Arabidopsis thaliana: one gene and its partner. The protein of the gene in region 1 interacts with the protein of each later gene in a biochemical or structural test. Each region holds a gene or a part of one and is shown on either strand. Other genes may lie near its edges. The genes, in order: ASY1 and ASY3.

The links.
Region 2: the proteins of ASY1 (region 1) and ASY3 form a complex in vitro, tested with the Arabidopsis thaliana proteins (one study listed by BioGRID).

What each region holds. Positions count from the first base shown.
Region 1 is NC_003070.9:25,235,571-25,247,490, forward strand, and holds ASY1 (DNA-binding HORMA family protein), read right to left. Parts: upstream 8,268-11,920; 5' UTR 8,144-8,267; coding exon 8,141-8,143; intron 8,010-8,140; coding exon 7,953-8,009; intron 7,708-7,952; coding exon 7,611-7,707; intron 7,495-7,610; coding exon 7,426-7,494; intron 7,333-7,425; coding exon 7,240-7,332; intron 7,034-7,239; coding exon 6,913-7,033; intron 6,813-6,912; coding exon 6,743-6,812; intron 6,648-6,742; coding exon 6,606-6,647; intron 6,270-6,605; coding exon 6,141-6,269; intron 6,059-6,140; coding exon 5,945-6,058; intron 5,837-5,944; coding exon 5,794-5,836; intron 5,710-5,793; coding exon 5,674-5,709; intron 5,580-5,673; coding exon 5,452-5,579; intron 5,344-5,451; coding exon 5,331-5,343; intron 5,184-5,330; coding exon 5,107-5,183; intron 5,007-5,106; coding exon 4,911-5,006; intron 4,803-4,910; coding exon 4,652-4,802; intron 4,564-4,651; coding exon 4,487-4,563; intron 4,423-4,486; coding exon 4,362-4,422; intron 4,287-4,361; and 7 more. Other genes in the region: AT1G67350 (NADH-ubiquinone oxidoreductase), read left to right, coding at 256-552; AT1G67360 (Rubber elongation factor protein (REF)), read right to left, coding at 1,502-1,984, 2,104-2,343; AT1G67390 (F-box family protein), read left to right, coding at 9,120-9,449, 10,199-10,816, 10,899-11,072, 11,252-11,569. UniProt on the Arabidopsis thaliana protein: Required for normal meiosis in male and female gametophytes. Plays a crucial role in coordinating the activity of DMC1, a key member of the homologous recombination machinery.
Region 2 is NC_003071.7:19,294,077-19,306,159, forward strand, and holds ASY3 (asynaptic protein), read right to left. Parts: upstream 10,196-12,083; 5' UTR 9,887-10,195; intron 9,384-9,886; exon of another isoform or gene 9,360-9,383; 5' UTR 9,354-9,359; coding exon 7,821-9,353; coding exon of another isoform or gene 7,803-7,820; exon of another isoform or gene 7,791-7,802; intron 7,723-7,790; coding exon 7,575-7,722; intron 7,471-7,574; coding exon 7,339-7,470; intron 7,261-7,338; coding exon 7,191-7,260; intron 7,109-7,190; coding exon 6,959-7,108; intron 6,886-6,958; coding exon 6,827-6,885; coding exon of another isoform or gene 6,753-6,826; exon of another isoform or gene 6,355-6,752; coding exon 6,220-6,354; coding exon of another isoform or gene 6,158-6,219; exon of another isoform or gene 6,042-6,157; coding exon 5,950-6,041; coding exon of another isoform or gene 5,926-5,949; exon of another isoform or gene 5,855-5,925; coding exon 5,792-5,854; 3' UTR 5,416-5,791; downstream 1-5,415. Other genes in the region: CYP709B1 (cytochrome P450, family 709, subfamily B, polypeptide 1), read right to left, coding at 1-136; PIL1 (phytochrome interacting factor 3-like 1), read right to left, coding at 1,541-1,942, 2,306-2,371, 2,477-2,542, 2,631-2,738, 2,820-3,354, 3,529-3,602. UniProt on the Arabidopsis thaliana protein: Required for normal meiosis in male and female gametophytes. Acts with ASY1 at the interface between the developing chromosome axes and the recombination machinery to ensure interhomolog recombination.

The DNA of each region.
Region 1 (11,920 bases):
CTAGAAACTTAACCTAGATCTAGATTAAGAACCCAATTTGTGGAAATCAATGCGTCGATTTGATAGAAACCCTAATTTCTGGGTGATTTCCATGGTTAAGCTGTTGGCTTGCATTAAGTAAATAACGAGATGGTTTCAGAAATTTAGGTCACAGAGTCCAATTTATGGATTCAATGCTTCGATTTGATTTTAAAAAACCAATCTTCGGGTTAAATTGAATGTAAGAAGTGTGTGTTTTTGAGTTTGCAGTGAAATATGGGTTTCATAATGGAATTCGCGGAGAATTTGGTGTTAAGGTTAATGGAGAATCCAGAGGAACGAGACAGGAAAGCGAGGGAACACATATATGAGATGCATGAGAGGTGCAAGAAGATTAAGGAGATGTGGGCATTGCCTATTCGTCCTTATGGATTCTGGACATTTGAGCGTCACAATGCTCAGCTTCGTTGGGATCCTCAGATCAGTCAGGTTGCTGGTCGAAGGGATCCTTATGATGATCTTCTCGAGGACAACTACACTCCTCCTTCTTCCTCTTCCTCATCTTCAGACTAATCAAACAATGGTGAGTTTTTAATTGTATGGAACCATTTTGATTCAGCATTTGAATATGGCTTTTCTATACTAGATTACTCTATAGCTGTTTTTGTCTCTGTCATTAGAGAATTTGCGTTGGTCTAGATAGTCAGTAGAGGAACTTGCTTTGGTCGATATGTGATGATTTTGTCTCTGTCAGTAGAGGAATTTGGGTTGGTCGATATATGATTTAACCTTTTTGGGTTGGACGAAATGTTCTGAACATTAGTGTTTGCACTTGCGTCTAAGCTACATATTGATATGTGATCAGTAGTGAATACTTTGTTCGTTACCCGCATTGTGGCTTGGAGCTGACGAGTTTGTACATCTCTTTTCCTTAACATATGTGCTTGGAATCTACAGTCTTTCTTCCTAGTTTTCTACAGTTTCAGCTTCATTTAAGCATAACTATCGTAGCTTCCTATAGGAAATGAGACTTGTATGTTTTTGTTTGTTGCAGAAAGAAGATGTGTTATGCTGTCTGGATGGATGCATGTTTGTTTTCAAGCTATTTTTCTCGGAGTTTGTCCGCTTCTGTTTCTATTTGTTCTTAAGGTGTCTGGGAGCTTGGTACAAAACTCAAATAATAACTTCAAACTTGTTTACGAACGAGAAAGAAATAATGCTCATTGGTTCTTAGTAAAGTTGTTTTGATTCTCCATCTCCTCCATTTTTGATACTGATACAATTTCTCAAAATGTGATAATTTTTTCATGTTCTTCGAAGTTATGTAGCTAACACTACCCATCCTTGTTTAAAAAGATCGAAACACACGTAGTACATTTTCACAGCACCAAGAGATAAAACACTAGTTCAAAGTTCTGTGATAGAAGAAAAAAAGAGAGGTCCTAAGATCATTTACACACATAACCAAAACCCAACAAACCAAACTTTCCAAAGCAGCAACAAATCACAAAATGTCTCAATCCTACTCCGAATCAGACGATGATTTATCACCATCAGCCGCATCAGTAGTCTCTCCTTTCTTTCCAGCCGTATCCCCTCCTTTCTTTCTCCTTGCATCTTCCTTTTCATAAGCCTTAACAATGTCATCAACAGGAACCAACGGAAGATAACCAACCAAAGAGTAACCCATATTAGTCATATCAGTCACCAAATCGTTGTACCGACTGGAAAAGTGTGCAGCCACAGGCAAAGCTTTGTCACCCATTGCATGGATTGGTTTATACTGGTTAAGTTTAGCCCAGACTTTAACCGAGTTGGTCACAACGAAAAACTTGTACTCAGTTGCAGCATAGTTAAACGCAGCTTTGGGACCACCGGTACGAGCCTCTTTCACAAAGCTTTGAGCTTTCTCTGTCGCCTTGTAGATCAATACATGTGCTTGATTCACCACTTTCTTAGCCATTGGAGGAGCATGCTCATCAAACTTGTACGAAACTTCACCCACCTAGCAAAAGTAAATAAAGAAAGGAAATGTTTGAAAAACTAAACACGATCTGGTTTCTAAATTAGGTCATCAGATCCAACAAAGACTAAATCTATGAGAAATTCAAAATTGGGCTCTACCTTGTGATCTAGAAAGACCAGGAGAGAATCAGGAACATCTTTGAATTTCTGATAGACAGGGGTGACGACGGTGGTGACGGCTCCTTCGACCTTTTCCACGGCGGATTTGAGAGGACCGGAGTTTTGTTTAGCGTATTCGTAGAGATTTGAGACGGAAGCCAGAATATGGATCGTTGCAATTCTCACGAACGCTAGGTGTTTTAGCGCTACCTCCTTGCTATTTTTCTTCTCTGTCTCCATCTACACCAAAGACGATGAAATCACGATTTTGATCGTAGTTTTGAGTGAAGGAAGAACAAAAGTGATGATAATAATCTCTTACCTTAGTTTTTTTTGTGAGTTCTTCCGATTTGCTTTCTTGAGAAATTTCGCCTGTCACTGTTCTTTATGACGTTATGAAACAGCAAAGTATCTTCACATCACGTTGAGGAGTGTGAGGAATGGTTAAAAATACGAGTGGCATTGGACTTGTCCACGTAATCCAACGGTTGATAATAGATCTGAGGGTGTGTGGGGTATTAAAAAAAGAATCGTTTCTAGAAAGGCGTGTCGTGTGTGGATGTTTCTGGACTTTTAAGCTGTGGGCTCGGAATGACGAAAATATTCTAGGGGATTCTTGTACGAACACGTGTATACTTTCCATTGAGTAGTGAACGTATAAGCGTTAAAGTTTTTGGATTATTTTTTGTCGGCCAAATACTTTCATTAAAACAGTCCATTAGGGCAATTACAAAGAGAAGCCCAATAACGTACATGCGAAATAAGCGGCCCAGTTTACCCCTCTCGTACTCTTCAGAGAGAGAGAACCTCCGTTCTCCGATCTCCATCGGAGATTAGTATTTGGTTTTTCTTTTGTTTTCCGTTAATCGGAATCTGTAAATTTCGCTACGGCGAATTGAATAATCTGACTTTAGGTCAGCTTTTGTAACCGGCTCTGTCTGGTTTAGATCTCCATCCATGTTTTCTGTCGATGTCGCCGTTTTCTTCACAAATCCTCTTAGTTTTCACCGTTGTGTTCAAGGAATAATATCTTCATCAATTCCTTTTGCTCAGGAAGAGCAAAGAATCGACTTCACCAATATGGGTGTCGTTATAGATGAAGCTTCCCTGGCGCTGGTGTTTCTTGGAGATTTTTGAAGCAGCTTCTTTGTTCTATCCGGCAGATCTTCGACGTTTATTGGATTTGGATTCGAGATCGACAACAAGGAGAAGGCTATCCATCACTACTAGACGGATCGGCGGTGACTGATCGAAGGCGGTGATGCTCCGGCGAGATGAATTCGGCGGTGCTCGATTTCCTGACGCGTGGAATGGCGTAGTACACGTTTCAACACGTGTTAGTATCTAAAGTTAAAGTTTTTGGATTAAAGTGATCGACAGGGGAATTTAAAACGAAGATAGTCCTATACTTCATACTTGTTCCATAAAAGCATGTAGAGCATTAGTGAATAATACTCACAGTAATAACTAATAAGTGTTAAAGTTTGATATGCAATAAATTATCTTCCCAAAAGTGCGATAAGATATGATACTTTAAGAGAGATAATAACAAGCATGGAGTATGAAAATAGTCTGAATGCAGAGGAGAAATAAAGCAATAAAAAGCGAGTGTTTCAGGTTAATATCATCACCACTGAAGAAGGTGGTTATGGTGTCTGATAGAGGTGGTGTCTTCAATTAGCTTGAGATTTCTGACGCTTGGAGTACTGCAGAATAGGCTCCCTCACCTGTAGGAATAACAATCACAAGAACCATGTCAGTTTCTTTCAGCAAATAACTAAAAAGTTGAAAAACGTAGAGAGAGTTTATATGGTTTAGTGTAAGATACCATGCTGGTTTTCCTGCCACGTCTGTCCTGTGAGGCTTGGCTACAGTTGACTGTCTCGGCTTCCTTAACAGCTCCACCATGTACCGCAAAGCTCTCCCTCGAAGCCGCAGGCTGAGTGAGCAACAATAACCAAATTAGCAAACACTTAAAAGAGTCATATACACAGTAAGATATGTCTATCACTCTCAGTGGTGATTTCATACTACCTGTGCCTTGTTGCTAATGGGAGTGTTCCCAGCTTTAGAGATAGTCTGTTCACTTAGAACAGAGCCGTTCTGCTGCATCCCACCAGATCTTCCTTTCGTGCGTGTGAAGTCTGAACCTATGGAGTGGATACCTCCACAGGTAGATACATCTATTTGTTTCAAATATGTCAGATCGATTAAAACAGCTTAAAACTTGGGTTGCAAAGTGCAAATAAGGAGTGTACCTGCGGTTACTTTGGCATCTGGGCCGTTTGTCTTGTTAATAGTTTCGGTAACATCCACATCCTGTGAAACCATTCACATTAGAAAGCTGTTCCAAAGAGGTATTCTGGTTTTCAAGTATTATTACCATATCATCGGTGGCAAGAACCTTTCTGACTTCATTTAGCTTCTTCTCAGTTAGACTAGAATGAATCACACGCTTCCCTGTTTATAAACATTGCATCAGTGAGGAAAAAATGACACAACAACCAACATAACTTAACAGAGAAGGGTCTGAATTGAGGTAGCAAACCTAGCCTGCGGTTGCTCGAAGCTTCCACGTAGCCCTCTTGGGTCATCCTGTCCATTAATTTACGAACTGCAGTCTGATTGGCTTCACCATCCAGCATGTTGTGAAGCTTTGTAATTGTCACATATTTCATCGGAAGAGAATGGTAAAGAGCCTAACAAAAAAAGCCAAGTGTCAATCATGGATCTCCGGACCATCTCTATTCATCTATCCTTTGAGCTAGTGTGTTAAACATAGAGTAAGAAGTCAGAGTCTCCCTCACTTTCATGTACAAGTAGTCTTCAGGAGCAACAGATTTCCCTGGAGAAATTTGACCATCGGCTTCCTCTTTCACAAAGGTGAATTCGCTCTCTGGTGTCTGAAATTTTGGGGTAAGTAGGTAGAAAATAAAATTTAAAAGCAAAGGCGAAAGTCATAAGTAAATGAAACCAAAGTAGGAGTCAGGATAAAAGAATCACCTTGTCTCTCTTTTTAATGTACATGTCCTTCCCCGTTTTCGAAAGAACACCTTCTGTCACGAGCTGATCCATGATTTCTGAAAGTCAGATTGTGACCAGTTAGTATAGGAAGACAGACTCTGAAGTTAACAACAGATAGCTATTATCAAACTGTATTATTAATCATCATATGATGATGCTTCAAGCGTGTTTTTGCCTAGTTATCATCATCAAGCTTGATTTACCTTCAGATAGAACCTGAAATCATAAAAAAGAGTGGCTTAGAGTTAAGAAATGGCGGAAACTAAACATGCAAGAGCTCAGTTACACTTTCTAAGGTGGAAATGAAGAGGAACAACTCATTACTATTGAGATATCTGGGAAGTTTGCAAGAATATCTGTGAGCTCCAGAGTATCAAGGTGACGGGAGTTGATCCAGTCCTTCACCCTTGCTAACTGCTGTTCATTCTCAGCCGGATCCTGTGTGTTGTCATCTTGAAGCATTTAAAAGATAGGTGAAATTAGAAGAAAGCTTTTCCAATACCGTGAAACCAAATTTTTGAAGTAATATTTGTATAGTAAATTTACCTTCATCAACCTCTCCATCATCGTCATCTTGTTTCTCTGTTAGATTATTAAGTTAACTCAGATAAGTGAAAACATTACTAGACTGGCATAAGCATACAAGGGTTTGTTACTCATCATTACCTACTGGCGCCACAATGAATTGATTTTCTTGTGTTTGACTGATCTGAAAACAACAATGAACATTACATTATAGGCACAGTGGAGTGTAATGCACATAGGATGTAAAAGATCTGAGTACAAAGCAGATGAGCAAATTAGAGACTTTGTTAACCTCGCTATCTGAATCAGAAGGCTGGTCATCATGTACAGAATCAGGTCCTATACTCTTACCATCATCTTGCATGTCGTCATTTTCATCTTCACAAGGATCAAGCACGCTCTTGACCTGCACAGATCATCCACAATGAATTGACATCATAAGACAAGAAACATGTATAGCGAGTTGCTTTATTCTTCAATCACGTTACCTTTAGCGTTAACACGAGATGTTTGCTGTTAACATTCCCAATTTCCATTCTCAGAGGATTCTTTGTCCATACATACTGAGCTTCGTCTTCTGTACAGCCTCTGAAGAAAGGTGGCTCGTAATCTGGTGGCTGCAAAAAGGTTTAAACAACAGCTGTCAGTCTTTCTTGTGGGCATTCAATTTTGGCATAGTAGAGAAAAGTGATATAAGATGAATGTAAAGACATGATTCCAAAAGAAAGTAGAAAATGAATGCAAACACAACAAATTCAAAGCTAGCCTGTATGTGTTATAAGTGTGTAGAATCAATCAGTAAATGAGAAAAGTCACATTCACAAAATAAGGATGCTTATTACCACAATATGCTAGTCTATAAGTTATTAAACGAAAGAAGCTCTATTGAAGCTACATTGAGATCATAGCAATGTCACCAGGGTTCAGAGAATTCAGGAAGGCTGTAATCATACCGTCACATCATCGTAGTACAGAAGCTTCATCACTATGGTGCGCTGCAGAAGCAAAAAAGGTAGGAATCTCAGTAATCAGCAATATGAAAACTGAGGTCAATGAAACTCCACTGAAGAGTAGCTACAATATTCATTACCTCATCTGGCATTTTGTCAAGAGTCCTCATCAGCTGAACTAGTGTACGAACCATTTTGCAAGCTGAACTCCTGATTTAAGTACACAATCATGAAAAATTATAAAGCCTGTTACGGAAGATAAATATAGACCTCAAACTCAAAGTAGGAAAGAATTATCTCAACACTGCACCTCATTTGATTTGGGGTAATGTCAGCAGTGGAGTTAAATATTCCTCCATTTTTCTTATTTCCAGTACGATTGATATTCATCATGACATCTTGGCTGTCAGAATCTGAATAGCTGAAAGAAACTGCAATAACACAGACCCTTCATCAATCAATAATGGATGTTACATATATATAGAGCATTGAATTTTAGCATAAAGCGATTATGCAAAAAAGCACAATCATCAAAGCATACACCAATTAAACAGGGAGGGATGAGGCATCAATTAATCAAATCACCCACCGGCGAACACATTTTTATCAAGCTAATCAATCATTCGCCAGAACTTACATGAGTATTCCTCAATCATCGGACCATCAACAGTTTCACATATGCTGAACATGAGCGTCTTCAAATATTTCCTCTGAAGCGCATCGTAGACTCCTAGATTCCATATTAAGAAACAAAATCATCAAAGATAAACGAGTACACAATTGAAACTAAGCGATAAATGCCAAAATCATTAGTATAGAAAACCTTTCTCCATCCAATCAATTAATCGGCGAGATTCAGCGTCCATAGGCATTAGCTTCTTAATCTTCATATCTACAAAAGCGTCCGCCCAATATTAGTTACAATATTTACCGAAATCGAAAATTTAACTTGATTTCTTTAGATCCCAGAGCCAAAGAGCTCTAGAAACTTCCAGATTAGCATCTCACCTAAAGCAGGAACCGATTTATCGTTGAAATACTTCTCAGGAAAGAGTCCTCTGATGTAACTTATGTTGAAGATAGCAATACGAAGCAAATTTCTAGTCTATTTCAGCAAAACGAAAACCAAAACAAAGACGTCAGTGTAAACGAGCTAAAAACTCCAGCTGATTAACGCGTAACAAACATAGAAACTGTTCACGATTCTTCAGATTAAGCGAAAAACTAAGTATAAGAGAACGAGATCTGAAATCCAGATCAATATCTACGAAAATCACCAGGAAGGAGCTAGAAATTTCACGAATCGTTAAGAAACAAAAACTCAAAAGCTCGATGATCGGCGTAGCTTACCAGAAGAAGCGAGTCCTGCTCAGTGATCTCTGCTTCCTTCAGCTTCTGAGCCATCACCTGGAGGTAAGAAACAAAACGAAACGCTAAAATCAGACTGAGAGAACTTGAACAGAGCGAAAATTTCATAGACTAAGATGAAGAACGAGACGGAGAGGAGAAAATTGATGATCGGCGATTTCTGCTCTCACCATTTTTGCAGAAGTGTGAAACGAATAACGAGATTCGTCGTCGGAGGAATTCTCAGAGAGAAGGAGGGAAGAGAAAATTTCAAAAAAAATTGAAAATGGAGAGAATGTTTATCAGTTTATGACTAGTGAGGGAGTCTGGGAGATCGTTTGAAGTTTATAGAAATGGAGAAGAATATTTAGTGGCAAAGCTGATATTTAGTGGTGATAGCATGGGTAAAATCGACTAATTGTGTAACGACGCGAAAGATATTTAGTGGTAACGTTGGTATTTAGTGACAAAAGCAGGGTCAATATCGTCTATTCGTTTCAACGTCCAGAAGATATTTAGGGGTAACGTTGGTATTTGAGATGGTAGTAGGGGCAATATAGTCTAATTACTATAATCACGTACAAGCGCTGCCAAAATCCAAAAGTTCGTTGCTCTTCTTAACTGGACCCCACCCTGATTTTAATTTTTCTAGTATAATTTTGTTTTTTGATTATTTAATGTTACAGCCCAACCCAGGCTCATATATTGTTTTTGGGTTTAGCCCCAATTACATTTCTGTTCTTTTGAAAATTTTGTTTTGTTTCTTCGTTTTGTATTTTTCTTTTTCTTTCAAAAGTCGTTAAAGACTTGAAATAACCAACTTGGTGATGGTTATATATGTTATGATTTCTGGTGTCATGGAAAGAAATCTGAATGCATATTTTATCCTGTGCCATTTATACGGAATGCATTAATTGTTAAATTCTTTCCATTTTATTAAATGTCATAGTCAACAAAAATAACTAACTGTTATAAATTGTAATGAAAATTAAAAATGAAGAATAAAAATAAACTTTGATTAGGGTTTCATTACAATTATTACCAGATATTTTCGTTGTCTGACTATAATCACTCTTATCTCTTCGTATATCATGTATATATATGTAACCTCTTCGTCTCTCTTCTCTTCATCTATAATCCTATTCTAATCTCTCTAGTCTACAAGTCGAAATGAGTCAATTCCCTCTCTCAATTCTCAAAACCTCTCAACCTCACCATCAGCCCAAATCCATGAACGCACCACGATCATCGGATGCAAGAGGCAAACGTATCCTCATCGATCCAATCGACGACCGGATCAGTAAACTCCCCGACGATGTGTTGGTCATGATCCTAGCAAGTTTGTCCACTGAAGATGCTTTGAAGACAAGTGTGTTGTCTACACGATGGAAGAATGTATGGAAACAAGTGCCTTACCTCCACTTCGATTTGCTAAGTGCTACATACGAGAGTGGACTTATCGCTGCTCTTTCCAATAGTGTTGCGGAATCGATAACCCAGGTTTCTCTCCATTTTTCCTTATTCTGCTCTTATGAGTTTCCAGTCAAATGTTTTGTTTTTTATCTGTCTCGTTTCCCTTAACTTAACTGATTAGATTGCATTACATTTTGATTCGTAGAAGAAATGTTATACGTGAACCAATTGAAATCAAATGCACTTGCTTATATAAATATGAAAGTCACATGTTTAACTTTGTGGTTAGGTGATTATCTGGTTTTATCTTATTTTCCCGCAATAATAAATGGTAAGCATAACGGTATTTCAAGCGAAAACATAGATTATTTCTTTAAAATAGTTTTCATTTAAGATTTTTTACGAGTATTAAGAAAACATTCATTGTTTTAATTCTAATTACTGTATTATTTTAGTTGATATCATCAATTAATAAGCTTAAAGAATAGAGATAGAATTAGAAAATCTATCAAGTGCATTGAAAACCGAAAATGACAACTAATTCAAAATAAAATTTAACTTTTAAAACGACAGCTAATACGAAATGGAGGGAGTATTTTTTTAAAAAATTTGTTTATTAATATATTTGAAAGTGAGCACTGATTTTGAATGTATTATTCTATTAGCTAATGAAAATATATAAAAAATGATCTCTTGCCATATATCTTTCAATTTTATTGAATTTAACAATTGATCAACTTATTCACAAGATATAAAAGAATTGGCTTTTGTTGACAACTTTTTACATTGTATATGTGTATCAATCTTTAACTAAAACCACTATTTTTGTTCTCAAGGTTATAAACAATCACAATGGTCATTTGATGGGTTGCTCAATCCATCATTTCGCACACCATTGTGTAAACGGTGTGCTTGAAAATTGGATTCGATTGCTTACTCTTGAGAAAAATACTAGATTTCTCTCACTTTGTAACAAACTTGGTAAAGGTAGGAGAACCAATGTGCTTCGGTTTTCCCCTAACACTTTCTCGCATCCAAAGCTCGCAACCCTCTTCCTACGTCGATACGATTTAGTAACCGCACATGCCTTCAAGGAGTGTGAAAATCTGAAGATTCTCAAGCTTGAGGGAATCTTAGCTGAAGTTGATGTGTTCAACACAGTTATTGCATCATGTCCTTCTCTCAAGGTGCTGGTGCTAAATTGCATGTGGTACAACGAAAAGACCTGCCTGAAGATTCATAATAATAATCTGAAGGTCTTGCATTTGGATTGCCCTCATGTTGATTGCATTGACGTGTCTGCAGCTCTTCTGGATATTTTCTCCATTTTCTACTTTGCGTTTGCTAAGGAACAAAACTTTGTCATCAAGGCACCAAGACTTTTGTTTAATAATTGGACTAAAGATCTAGAGAAAGTGCCAAACATGAACTACAATATTACATCTCATGCTCAGGTACAAGTACAAGCATATATATATATATAGAAAATGGTATTTTATATATTGCTTAACATATTTTGTTTTACATGAATTGAAGGAGAAAAAAAATATTGGACATGAGTTCGTGGTGAGTGGAGATGCTAGCTACTTGCAAAAGCTTAAGTCTTTGAAGGTGGTCGTGGATGTAACAAATTCGAGAGAAGTCCACATGCTAAGGGACATTTTAGTTGCTTGGAATGGAGTATTGGAAGAGCTCCATATACTATTTAAGGTACTTTCATTTTATGCTTTAATTTTAGTACTTAGAAGATTTGATCAGTTTTCTTCTATCTTTTTTTTATTTTAATTTTTATCTTCTATCTTTTTTTTTGGTTTAATGAGTTTTAATTTCAAGTATCTATCATAACCAACACAACATGTTTATGTATGTTCTTGTCTATATATATATAGGATAACAATGTCCCTAACTCTAAGGAAGATAGTGAATCTTCGATTGGTGGAACACAAAAGAAAAAGTGGGAGGAGGCAAATCTGTTTCCCAATGCTGATTTTCGTGTGGAAGTTATGTGGATGTTTGATTTCAACGGTTCAAATAAAAAACAATTTGCATTAGCTTCGCGTTTTGTAACGCAAGGGACGGTAATGAAGAAGATGATGATTAAAACGTCTTCATTTTTTGCAAATGAGAAGTTGGATAACGAAGCGGTTGTGGCCAAACTAAAGGAACTTCCAAAGGGTAATGAGAATCTTAGTATTGAATGCTTCTGATGGAATTTGGTTAGAATCTAGTAGAAAATAATATTTCTAGCCCTATGTGACATTGATTGTGGTGAAAAAAAACAAATTTCAAAACATAATCTTGTAGTTTTCTTCTCCCTTTTATATTGATGATTTTTCTTTATGACAATTAATCTTTAGTTTAATATTGAATGTTTTTAAATTTAAATGACAAAAAATACCATTTTATTGCAATGGCTTTTATGAACTTGTCACCGCATCGAGGATTAGAGTCGGAATCGGCGCTCTTGGAATCTCGCTTCCATAACGTTTCCAAAAAAATCCACTTTGGGAGCTCTTTAAAAACTAACAATTGATCTACATATTTTGAAAATTTGGGCT
Region 2 (12,083 bases), on another chromosome or scaffold:
GGCCTGAGATTCCTTGGTTTTTGAGTCTTCTGGTCAACACAAATGGATGCCAAACAAGAATCATAAAAGCTTTGAATATCCTGAGACCAATAATAAGGATTAAGACAATTAGTGCCAAGAAAATTACGAGCCCCATGGAAAAGTTTTTTTTTCCTTATGTTTGTGTGTGTGTATTGTTGTTCTTGGTTAGGTGTTTTAAGTTCTACACTATATAATGACATGCACATATAACTTTGTAAAATAAGTCTATGGCCAGTGAATGAAACACTATCTAAACACTACATGAAGTTAGCACAAACACGTCTGTTTATTTTCAATTTGAGAACAAACAAAAAGTAATTAATAAAGTAAAATGTGTCTTATATATGGTATGATGATAGAGTAGATTCTAAATATGCCTATAGCACATATTTGTTACGTAATAAGACAATTATAGAAAGTATATAAAAAATGAGTGGATAAAAGAAAAATATAAAATTACTCATGAAAGCTAAGTAATCCTTTTGGGAGAATAATTTAGTTTTAGCATTCATTGTATCTTAGGTTTACTGTTTCTGTATCTTTAAAATAATCCGGCATGGACAATGAATCAATGATTTGTTGTTAACATATCATTGTGAACAAAATACTTGATGAACTAATTGTTTGGAGAGTTAATTTGGTATTTGAATTCAAACGAAAATGTTATAGAAATAGAAGTACAACATTGTGAAAATAAATAAACAAAGATGAGAGATATTTATCAACCAACGGTGCAATGTGATGGATCGTGACATCGAATCTTAAAATGAAACACTTTTTCGTTTGTTATCTACTTTTGCATGGTTTCATATTTAAAGGAAGTGGTTGAAATTTTATTTCTATACTAAAAGAATTGGTTTAGACTTAACTATCCACTTTCTTTAAGTATCATGTTAACTCATGAAATAAGAGTCATCTATTTTTAAAAGAGAATCTTCACATTGATTTCAAGTTTTCAACGCACCTGACGCTAAAATATCAGAAATTCAATGTGTGAGTCTCATCTTCATCACACTATTGCACTCCCTTGTTTTCGTGTTTGAAAAAGCCCAATTAATTTTTTAATGTTTGAAAAAAGAAAGAATAAAGTAGATATTAGTCCACTAAAAAGCCCATCAAGCCCAAGTTTTGTAGTACTTTACTCAATCTCATCATTGAGATTGTTCCTTAATCCCAAAAACATGGCAAAATTCGTTTCAAATTACGATTTAGGTCAAATGAGTTGTCTTCATCTTAGTTGGGTTTGCGTTAAAATCGGTTTATCGTAATTGAACACTCATCATCATCCATCATTATGCAATTGCACGTCCTCTACTTATAACTTTGTTATAGAGTCTATGATAACTTATATTTGTTATATTTTACTTTGTACATCCACTTTGAAAATAGTTGGAATTAAGTTCAAATCGTTCCAAGAATCAAGGCCCAAAAGCCCATAGACTAACAACACAGAGTAGACGATCATTTTTTTTTGCTTAAAGTTAGTTAGTTGGAGAAAACATCAACTTTCTACAAATCATTAGTTTGGCGAGCGATAATAACTAAAACCGTTGCTTCCTCTATATTGCATTGCATCTTCTAAGTTTGAGGCGGACGCAGACTTTGGGAATTGAGTAAAAGAAGTAGCCTGAGTCTGAGAAACACACGAAGGCACCACGAATGGCTGAGAGCAATTTTCCAATGGAGAAAAGATAGGAGTGTTTGGAATTAGTCCACTTGGGTGATTAAGAAAGCTTAGCATTTGTGGTGGTGCATTGTTCATCCCCGGAAAACCGGTTGCTTGAACATTCATAGGCAGGAATTGCGGTATTGATGTTGGTGTTGCTGCTGCACCCATATGCATTCCTAGACCCATGGGAGAGTAATGACCCATTGGCAACATCGTAGGTGGTCTTATTAATCCATTTCCCATACTCATCATCTGTAAATAATTATTAGAGCATGTTAATTAAGAATCTTATATATATGTAAAAAAATTTGTAGTAAAATAAATAAGGAATAAACTTTTGATTGTTTATTGATTAGTGTTTAATTACGTTTATAATTTGTTTTGGTTTCTCTTATGAAACTAGTTTCTAGTGACTTTATCAAGAATCATTCGTAAAGGTAAAAGCCAAACGCAATAATATTTGATAACAAAAACACTTTACAAAGTATATTTTAATGTTAAAAAACAAATTTATATGTAAATATAAACACAAGTCTGTGTTTAAATAATTAACACCTGAATCATTTTATTATCTCTCAATGAAATTTTATTGAATTGGTGTATTATTTTGAATACCTGAACTTGAAGTTGAAGGGTCCGCATATATTTGATAGCCTCATCCAACAATGAAGCCTTATCATCCTATCATCAACAATTACAGATATTCAGAAATCTCCACAAAGAGAAAATTAATTAACTCTCTAAGACTAAGTAAACAATGTAATGTGATTTAAGTTAATCTCAAACCTTGTAACAATTTGGTAGTAGGTCCTGCAAAGCACGCATTTTCTTGTTGAATTCATCTCTTCGTTTCTGTTAACAAATCCTTAATTAGCATTAATTTTCATACATTATTTTTTTTCTACTAACTAAGGTGAAATTTTCATACATATAAACTCACTCTTTCATATAACTTATGGACTTCTGTGCTTCGTTTTCTTTTAGTCACCGGCTTTCTTGTTCTCGCATGAACTTGTGTCTTCGCATCATCTGATTCATCATCTGAATTCTGCATAAGCAATAAGAAAAAGACAATTAATGATCTACCATGTGAAAGAACTAAGACAAGCAGCTAATTAATTTCTCTTACATTACTTAAATAGGTTGATTCTTCTTCTTCAATATCTCCATACTTCCTCTTTAAAGAACAACAACTTAGATCTCTCGAAGTTCCTCGAGAAAACTTCGATGAAGAAGCAAAATACAATTCCGTGGATCTACCAACAGCTGCAGATTGCTCATCAGGAGGAGCTGTAGTAACTTCAACATTCTTTGGACCTTTAGCAGAAACATCAATTAATGTTGATGATTCAACACATTTGTTGCTTTTCGAAACATTTCTCTCAAATTCGATTTTGGAGGACTTTAGCTTCTTCTTATTGTTGTTCATTTGTTCATTGGTTTCTTTATCTTGTTGTGGCTTAGACTGACTCACCGGAACAACTTGTGTGTCTCCAAGAATCTTGATGTTTTTCTTGAAACCCTCGCTGTACTCGGTCTCATACAAATCCAGGAGAGATTGCCTACGTTGCTTTTGAAAAGAACCGTTGTTCTTTGGTCTTCGAATCTTTGCAAGAATCTGCCCATTTTCACACACCAGCTCCATATAATCTTCATCTTTTAATCTGCAAGAAAAGAGTCACGTATAAATAACCTATTAACAAAAAAAAAATAGTCAGGAGAAGACAAAATTGTTTCAAGCACCGACAGAACCATAAGCGCCCATTATTTCAAAACCACGCATGTGTATATGTTTATAGAAGTCGCAAAAAGTGTAGATGAAACCATAATAAACTTACTTTGGTTTAATGTTTGATGATGGAGAAATCATGTTTGGTTCAGATGATGATGATGCTAAGGGTTTTGCTTCCATTGAAGTAAACTGAACAAAGCTTTCTTTACTTGTCTTTTTTTTTTTCCGGTTTTTGTGAATTGTAGAATCAGAGAGATTCGGACTTCACACTTTGGTTTTCTTTCTTGGGGTTAATGAAGAGCAGCATATATATATATATATAGTCGGTTGTATATATGTATATTCGCTTATTTCATTTATGATTGATTGATATGGAGGATTTGTTTTGGTCCACAACTCATATATTTATCCTTGAATCGTGATTATGACACAGTATGGAGAATTAGTACAAATTATTACCTTACAAACTTTGGTCGACTTCAAATGTTACATTTCAGATTTATAAAATTTACAGTTGCTTTTTTTTAATACAAAACGTATATATTTGTTTGTATATGTGAAATGAGTTTTCGCACGTTTTATAGAAAAAATATAATCATAAATTCATAATAACATAGACTATACTATATATACGCGATAAAGAGTAGTATAAGTATTCATGTTAATGTGTAAATCTTTCATTTTAAAACAAAAATATTGATGGAATAAATGAAAGAAGCAAGATAATGTATGGGCGATAGTGAAAGACAAAGAAATAGAGAGAGAGACATTCTTATGACCGACTTCTCTACTCTCCACCGCTCCATTTTTCTCTGCTTTCGGAAAAAGAATAGAAAAATTAAATAAAAATAAAGTCAAATCTACGATTGCAATTCCTTTTTTTTTTTTTTGTCTTCATCTAAAATGAGAAAATATTAAGCATGATCATTTTTTTAACGTCTGATCCGTGAATTTTACTTGAGCACAGTCAGATATATATATACATATATTTATATATGGTTTTGTGTATTTCCTTTTTATTTAAAAGGTCAGGAAAACACAATGTAGTAAATAGGAAAACACAAAAAAAATCACTCCCGATGATGCTCCAACAATAATGCAACTAGTATTGATTTTTTCGTCATGCAAATTCCTATAAGAACGTGTTCTTAGAAAGTTTAGGAATAAATTCCAAACTATGCAATGACAAAGCGTCCAACTGAACTTACTAAATAATCTCCAGTATTGGAACACACTATTTCTATATTATGTTCGTGTGTTATTTTTTTTATTGAAGATAAAAGTATTATCAATAAGTAATACGCATGTTCAATTGTTCACAATTAAAAAAGAAAGGTCAAAACTTAGGTAGACCGAAAAAAAATCAATAATGTTGTTATCAAAAATAAAACAAAACACTAGTAAAACTGTAGTGAGTGACATGCGAGAGAGACGGGCACAAAAGGCCCACGTGAGCGGAAAGAACCTTCACGCCATTATTAAGACATATATGGATGGGCCCTTTCTTAAAGGCTTTAGTTTTCTCTTTAAATGGGACCCACAATTAGGCTTTTTTTGGCCAAGTTCACGTGCACTTCACGTGAATGCCGCGTGATTCATCCACCCCTTTGTGTTATTTTGTCTCCCTCCCTTCTTTCTTGTTTGTTTCTAACGACTGCTACTATCTTGTCGTCTTCTCCATTTTTACCCTCTCGACACATTCTAAATTCTTTTACCGACCGTAAAAAAAGAATCCTCTGTGATTTGAGATCTCTCTATTTACAAACAAAATTATCTCTACCATGTTTTTATCATCACAGTAAAATTGTTGGGTCCAACATTTTATTTTCTGTTTCATTCGATTGATATCGAATTGTGACCATTCTTTGTTCAGTTTGGTTTTGATATTCAATATGAAATACATCTCTGTTAAAGTAAAATATTGTAATTAAAATTCACATCAACGTCTGCAAAATATTCTGGTTTTTAAAAGAAAAATGTTTGGATTGGTTTTGCTTCGATATATATCAAGATATCAATAACCTAATTAAAAGTTGTTGGTTTAATAAAAAATATCTGCAGTTGCTGGCAAAAATAAATTAAAAAGAAACCTTCAAACTGCTATATAAAATAAGGCTCTATGATATAAGTAGTTTTGTAGTGGTTCAGTGAACAATAAACTATTCTATACGAATACGAATCAATGACAATGAGTCAAAGCATCATCTACTATATCTTCTTTATTCGCCTGAACTCATGAGACCACTAAACCAAAGGCTGGTTTTGCTTGAGAGGTTTTTCTTTCCTGGTTAACACAGTTCGTCTAGTTTATGTTTTAAAATGGAGAATAACGACGTACGTGTGGTTGATTGATTCTGTGAGACTCAGTGTCAATCATCCCTCAAACATTCTGCGACAATCATCTTCAGCTGCAGCATCTTTCCTCTCGCAGACTGTAAACCAATACGTCATTTTTAAGTTGTGCTTTTGAATTCATGATTTAACCATTTTTAGAATCTGACTCTTAAGAAGCAGAACAATGACTTGCCTTGTTTACAGAATCGATTCTTTTGGTCGCATCGTCCAGTTTTGTCTCGATGCCTCCTTCAAAATGTGCAATGAGTTTTTGGTGTGATGTTCCTGTCATAGAGAGATAAAAAGTTATCAAGTGAGTTTAGGAAATACTTGTCCTCCTGCTATTATTATATTAAAACTATCTTGCCATGAAGAATCTAACTTTGATAACATCATATGTTTCAAGTATTTCTAGTGTTAGAATTCGTTGTAGTAAAAGCAGGAATTACAGAAGTTAACATACTTTGCTTCTTTATGCTTCCTTTCAGCTCTGACTGGTTTGCTTCAAGCTCTTCGATAGTACTCTTAAAATCTTCAAGATGATGGCTGACATCGTCCTTGAACTTTTCATGGATCATTCTCATTTTCTCTTCTTGCTCTGTTAGACGATTAGATATTATCAGTGAACACAATAGATCAGAACGGATCTTGCATATTTTTATTCAATGAGTGGAAATATGGAGACATTTCCAGACTCTCATGTTCCACAACAATACACAGCTCAATTTTTTATTATTCTCCACATAGGAATGAATTGAGCATTTAGCTTTGTCTTGATATAACTATGTTAAATGCAAGTTTCATGTCTATGTTAGAGCCGAAAGTATAGTTAGGTGTGTGTGTGTGTCTAATCAAAGAGACATGAAAGCACAAGAATGAAGCAAGATGGTGAGTACTTCAAGACTAAATGCAATCTAAAGAGTAATACTTGATATCAAATTTCCGATCTACTACCTTGAATCAGGATTAAACTGCAAAGATAGTATATTTGAACTTCTAAGCTTTCTTAATGTTCATGACTGTGAATTCGAGTACAGTATTAACTATTAAGATATAATGTGTTGATGTACCTTGTAATCTTGTTTCGGCATGCTTTCTCTTAGTTTTGGCTAGGTTACTTGTCTTTCCCCTGTACCATAATTAACAAGATCTTTGATTGATAATTTAAAAGAAAGAATGCAGAATAAATTATACAAACATACGCTTCTGTTATGATATGGGACTTGATATTCTCCAACTCCAGATGTATCTCCTCGGAGACTGATGCTATAATTTCTGAGGACTTCTTTTCAGCTGCAGATTTCAGTTTTCTCTCAAAGTTTTGAAGAGCCATAGCGAACAATGCAACAGCCCTGAGACATGGTAAATAATCAACTTAAGACAGGAACAAAGATTAAAGATAGACACGTAATATTAGTTATATCTACAAGAGACCTTCCCAAGCCTTCATCTTCATCCTCATCCATCTCTGAACAATGCTGGAAGGAATCAGTTTTATCGATCCCTGCTCAGTTTCCAGGACAAAACAAATGAGGGTGCAGTATATAAACCCACAACAGTGACATACAAATGAGCATTATACCTTTTGACAAAGGGGAGGGAGGACTTAACACGACACGTCCAATGCCCTTAAGGTTAGAGTTCCGTTTAACTGAGCTAGGGCCTAACATAGATCTCTCATTAGTCCAATTGGCAGTTTCTCTTTCTTCGGGGCCTGAATCAGAAGATCAATAGAATAAGCAAAACATGGATTCTGTTAAGAAGAAAATAAGATCCTCCAGTTTTTATATGGTCTAGGATAAGAATTAAGAAGCATACTGATGTTATGGCCTAACACTGGTGAATCTTCTCTTGAACCATCTGAGTCTCGCTCATCAGACGACGGATCAGACAGAACTAAATCTTCATTTGGCTCAGGAGAACTTTCTCTTCTGAAAGAATAATCTCTTTTCTTCTCCAAGAAATCCTGAAAATAAATAAGTAAACACAAAAGTCAAAGAGGAGTATATAAAGTCAATATGCAACTTAAGTATAGATAAAGCCGCTTCAGTTTATGAAGGTTACAGGCAATCTCTTTTCTGTATCTGACGCTTGGCCTGTTGTCCCTTGAGAGGTTTTCTTAGTACCGAAGCTAAATATTGGTGTTTCCGTCTCATCTAATGTGGGACTAATATTCCTAGGTTGCAAAGGAGATGCTTCTGGAGAACAACATGGGGAAGGACTTGAGATTGGTGCTTTATATCCAAAGGTTGGACTCTGGAATTCGTTTTCTGGCTCAACAGACTTTTCCCTGAAAATATTACTCGGCCGTTCATGTTTATCGCCATTTTTAGATAATCCCTGGGACATCTCTGGCAGAGCTGCTGCCTCAGCTTCTGGCGATGGATGAAAATCTCCTTCCCTTGTGCTAATATCTGGTTTCTGTTTCCGGGCTTTGCTCTGTGGATGAAGGTCATGGGAACTTCCCTTTTTGTCTGAAGATGAAGATCTTTTGCCAGTTTCTGTGCTTTCAGAACGTGGTGGAGTATTGCTCTTGCTCGCCTCCTTCCGACTCCAATCAGCTTCATCCTTTTTTCGAGAATGAGCCTTACGGCATTTTACAACAGTGTTTTTTCTTCTACCCCTTTGTTTCTTTGGCATAACACTGGAATTCACAGCAGTGCCAATTTTTCCGCGCAAACCTTCCTCAAAAGAAAATACACTATTTACTTGTTCTGTGCACTTGCGACCTAAGTTGGCACCAGCTTTGGTTTTCTTCTGGACACCTTTGGCTCCTACCCTCCTCTGCAACAAAGATCTGGTTACTGGCCTTCTGGTAGCATTTTCAGGGCTTTCAGAATCAGTTTCGATAGAATCTGAATTGTGTCTAGGCTTAATAAGAGGATCATCATTTGAACCCTTGTCTTGACTCAACTTGAAGTTGGTCTTCTCAACTTCTGGGGTCTCAGAGTTCACATCTTCATTATTTGCTGGTGAAGCTTTTCCCAATATCTCCCACAGTTTTGATCTCAAAACATCAGTAGTTCCATTTGTCTCCTTCCCTGGCTTATCCATCTTCTCTCTCTGTGAGGCAACCTTTTGCTGCAAGACTGCAGATGGAGGTTCTTCCATCCTCTCTGGACTCCTATCCATCACTCTATCGTTCCTGCCACCATTCAGCTCACCAAGACTGTGCTGAGGACTCGAAATGGGACAGTTTTGAAATGATTCACGAGCTGGTGTCTGATGTGCTCCATTAAGTCCCTTGTTTAATCCTTTGCTACCAGACAAACTAGATGTTTGCTTACAAAGAACACTCTCAAGAGTCCCTAATTTCCGATGAGACGATCTCGGAGACCTCCAAGGTGAGGTCACATGTCCTGTGACCTGAGCTGAATTCCTTTGCTTGGCAGCTAAATCACTTTTCTCTTTCTTGTTCGCCTGTAATTCAGTTACGGTGGCTGATTTCAACTTTTCTACTCTAGCAATAACATCTCCATCATCCTTATCTGGCACAAGATTCCTTTTCGGTTGTGAATCAGCCATAACTCCTATAGAAATCTTTCTAGATTGACTTGATGGATGGTAGTTACTGCCGAAGCTTCTATAGTCGCTCATCTTTTCCTGAAATGTATCACCACAAGGTTAACAATTCTGCTGGGAAAAAGAATGTAAATATCAACGAACACCTAATCACTCATATAATTTCTGAATAGCAACACAAACAGAGAAGTAAAGCAGTACAACGCAGGCTATATTCAGCGATAATGGATGATAAATTAATCATTAGGAATGGTAAATTTCTAACACTCGGATAAAAAATTTGGTAATAGAAAATCCCAAAATAAGAAGGTGCTAGATCTGGATAATATGACGAAAACAAGAGAAGCAGCAGATAATAGATGCTTGAAACGATGAACAACTAGCGAGATGTGATATCTCTAGCAACGAATTTCATACCAAAACTCTCCGATTATGCAAAGACAACACTATAACGCTGGTACTAAACTCAAAATCGAGACGATAACACCAATTTAACGAAAGGGGGCATAGATCGCGACGACTTATCACTGAATATGAGAGTAACGAGCCATGAATCGAAAACGAAAACAGAGAAAATCGAGCGATGGTATCATTGGCTAAGAAATTACCTAATCAAAGCTCGCGGGTACAAGTGCGAAAGCCCTGACTCTCTGATTCCGGTGAAGAATTAAGTGATCAAAGAGAGAAAGAAGATCGCCGGAATATTAACTGGAATAAGATCTGAGAAAACTGATAGAGAGAGAGAGAAGCAGAAATTCGAAATTTCTAGGAGAGAAGCGGGGGAAAATGAAAATTTAGATTTCTCAAAATGGTGTGTAACAAACACTGTCTGTAGCTGAATTGCGTATACACGACGCCGAACATTTGGACGATTTTAACCCTGAGATTTCTTCGTATTTACATTGCATCGTAACCGTCAGATTGAGGTGAGTACATGTGTCGTAATCTACTTATCATTCTCAAAATTTTGGCGCCTTAATTCGCCTCTCAAAAAATTTCAATCGCTTCAAAGTTCAAACGGAGACGGTCTTTGCATATGTCAAGTTTCCGTTAAACTTTGACGGGTCAGGCTAGAGCCATCCAAGTCCAACTATCCCGGTGACTAGCGTTTATATATATGCTACATAACCAGGCCCGGCCCAAGTGGGTAGTGCCTGGGCCTAAGGCCGGACTGTACATAACTGATCATTAATTTGAGTTCTATTTAACAAACATTCTATTGTTATTCCATGTTTTATTTATGATCCATACTCGTAAAATAATTCACTTATTTATTATATAGTTTATATATATATATATATATATATCAACATCGTATTTAATAGTTCACAAACATACATAATTTGTAGAGGATAAATTTACAAAAAAAATGATAGGGAAAAAAAAACACTCGATTAAGTGTCATAATGTGAGGAACGAGATTACGTCATACAGAATCCACAGGGACAAAATGTCACACTACCAGTGTATTTGCTTTGTAAGAAATTTAAAATCAATTCAAGATTTGGTAAATCTATATACAATTCATGAATTGCGTGCGTAATCTTAACATTTTTAAGGATTTAGAAGAACCAATAATATATAGTATCTATAAAAAGACACGCACGTAACATCTCGACTCAATACCTACACGCACGCATGCAAGTATCTTTTACTTTATGGAGGCTATTGTTTATCTATCTATATAAACGTATTAAGCTTCTGCATCCTAACCATGGAAGACCTCCACTTGATTGCCCTCGGGGGCTACTCTTCCATTCAAATTATATTACATATTTTAACACTTTTTGCTTCCATTAAATTACTTTCTTTAATATTAGCAGTTTACCTTAGAGATGAAAGTAACCAAACTTTATGTAAGGAATACAAATACAACTTTAGATAATATAAAAAAAAATTATTAAAGGATAAAAAAATATTAAAAAAATATCATGCATGCAAATTCTAAATCAAAATTGATTGCAAGAAAAAAAAAATACATATATAGGCACTCCATTCATTTAATCACCAATTACTTTTTGAATAGAAATTCTATGAGTTTTAAATTTTATATACGATATCAACGAAGAAATAATTCGACTTCTTCCAATATCATAAAAGTAACATAAGCAAGTTCAAAATTTAATGCTTCATTAAACCAAAATAAAATAAAAAATGCTTCATGAATATATATATATATATATATATATATTTGAAATTATTTGGTAGGGGAAGTAATGTTTTAAAACTTGTATATTATAACAATGAATACACATGTAATAATGTAAACATACATCCAATCAACAAATGAAAGAAACAATCCGATAATTTCAGTAATGTTAAAGCAAAGGGAGGAAACAAAAGGCTATGATTAGTCCAACAAGAGGGGCTACAGAAAAAGAAAGCCACGAGACATGCAAATGCAATCACGCATCTTAAAAGCAAGCCCAAGTTTTGACTGACAAGCAACCACGACGCAGTAAAGTGGAGTTCTCAAAATTAGCGCATATATAAAGTACTTGAACTATGTGTGTATCTTTCCAATAAAATGCAATTCTATAATGACTGCCAAAATCAGTACTTCATATTATTTTTGAGGAAATATCGTATATGTGTATCTTTTTCTAACAAAAGTTTTTTTATTCAATATAGAAAAAAATGAGTATATTTACAATTTACATATCATAAGATTAAAGTTGCAAAGAAATAAAGAGAAGATGCAAATGAAAATAATGGAAGAAAAGAGGGGACAGAGAGGAGGCGGAGGCAGTAAGAAAATAAGAAAGTGAGGAAATTGTAATTTGTAGTGTTGTTAGGGAACATCTC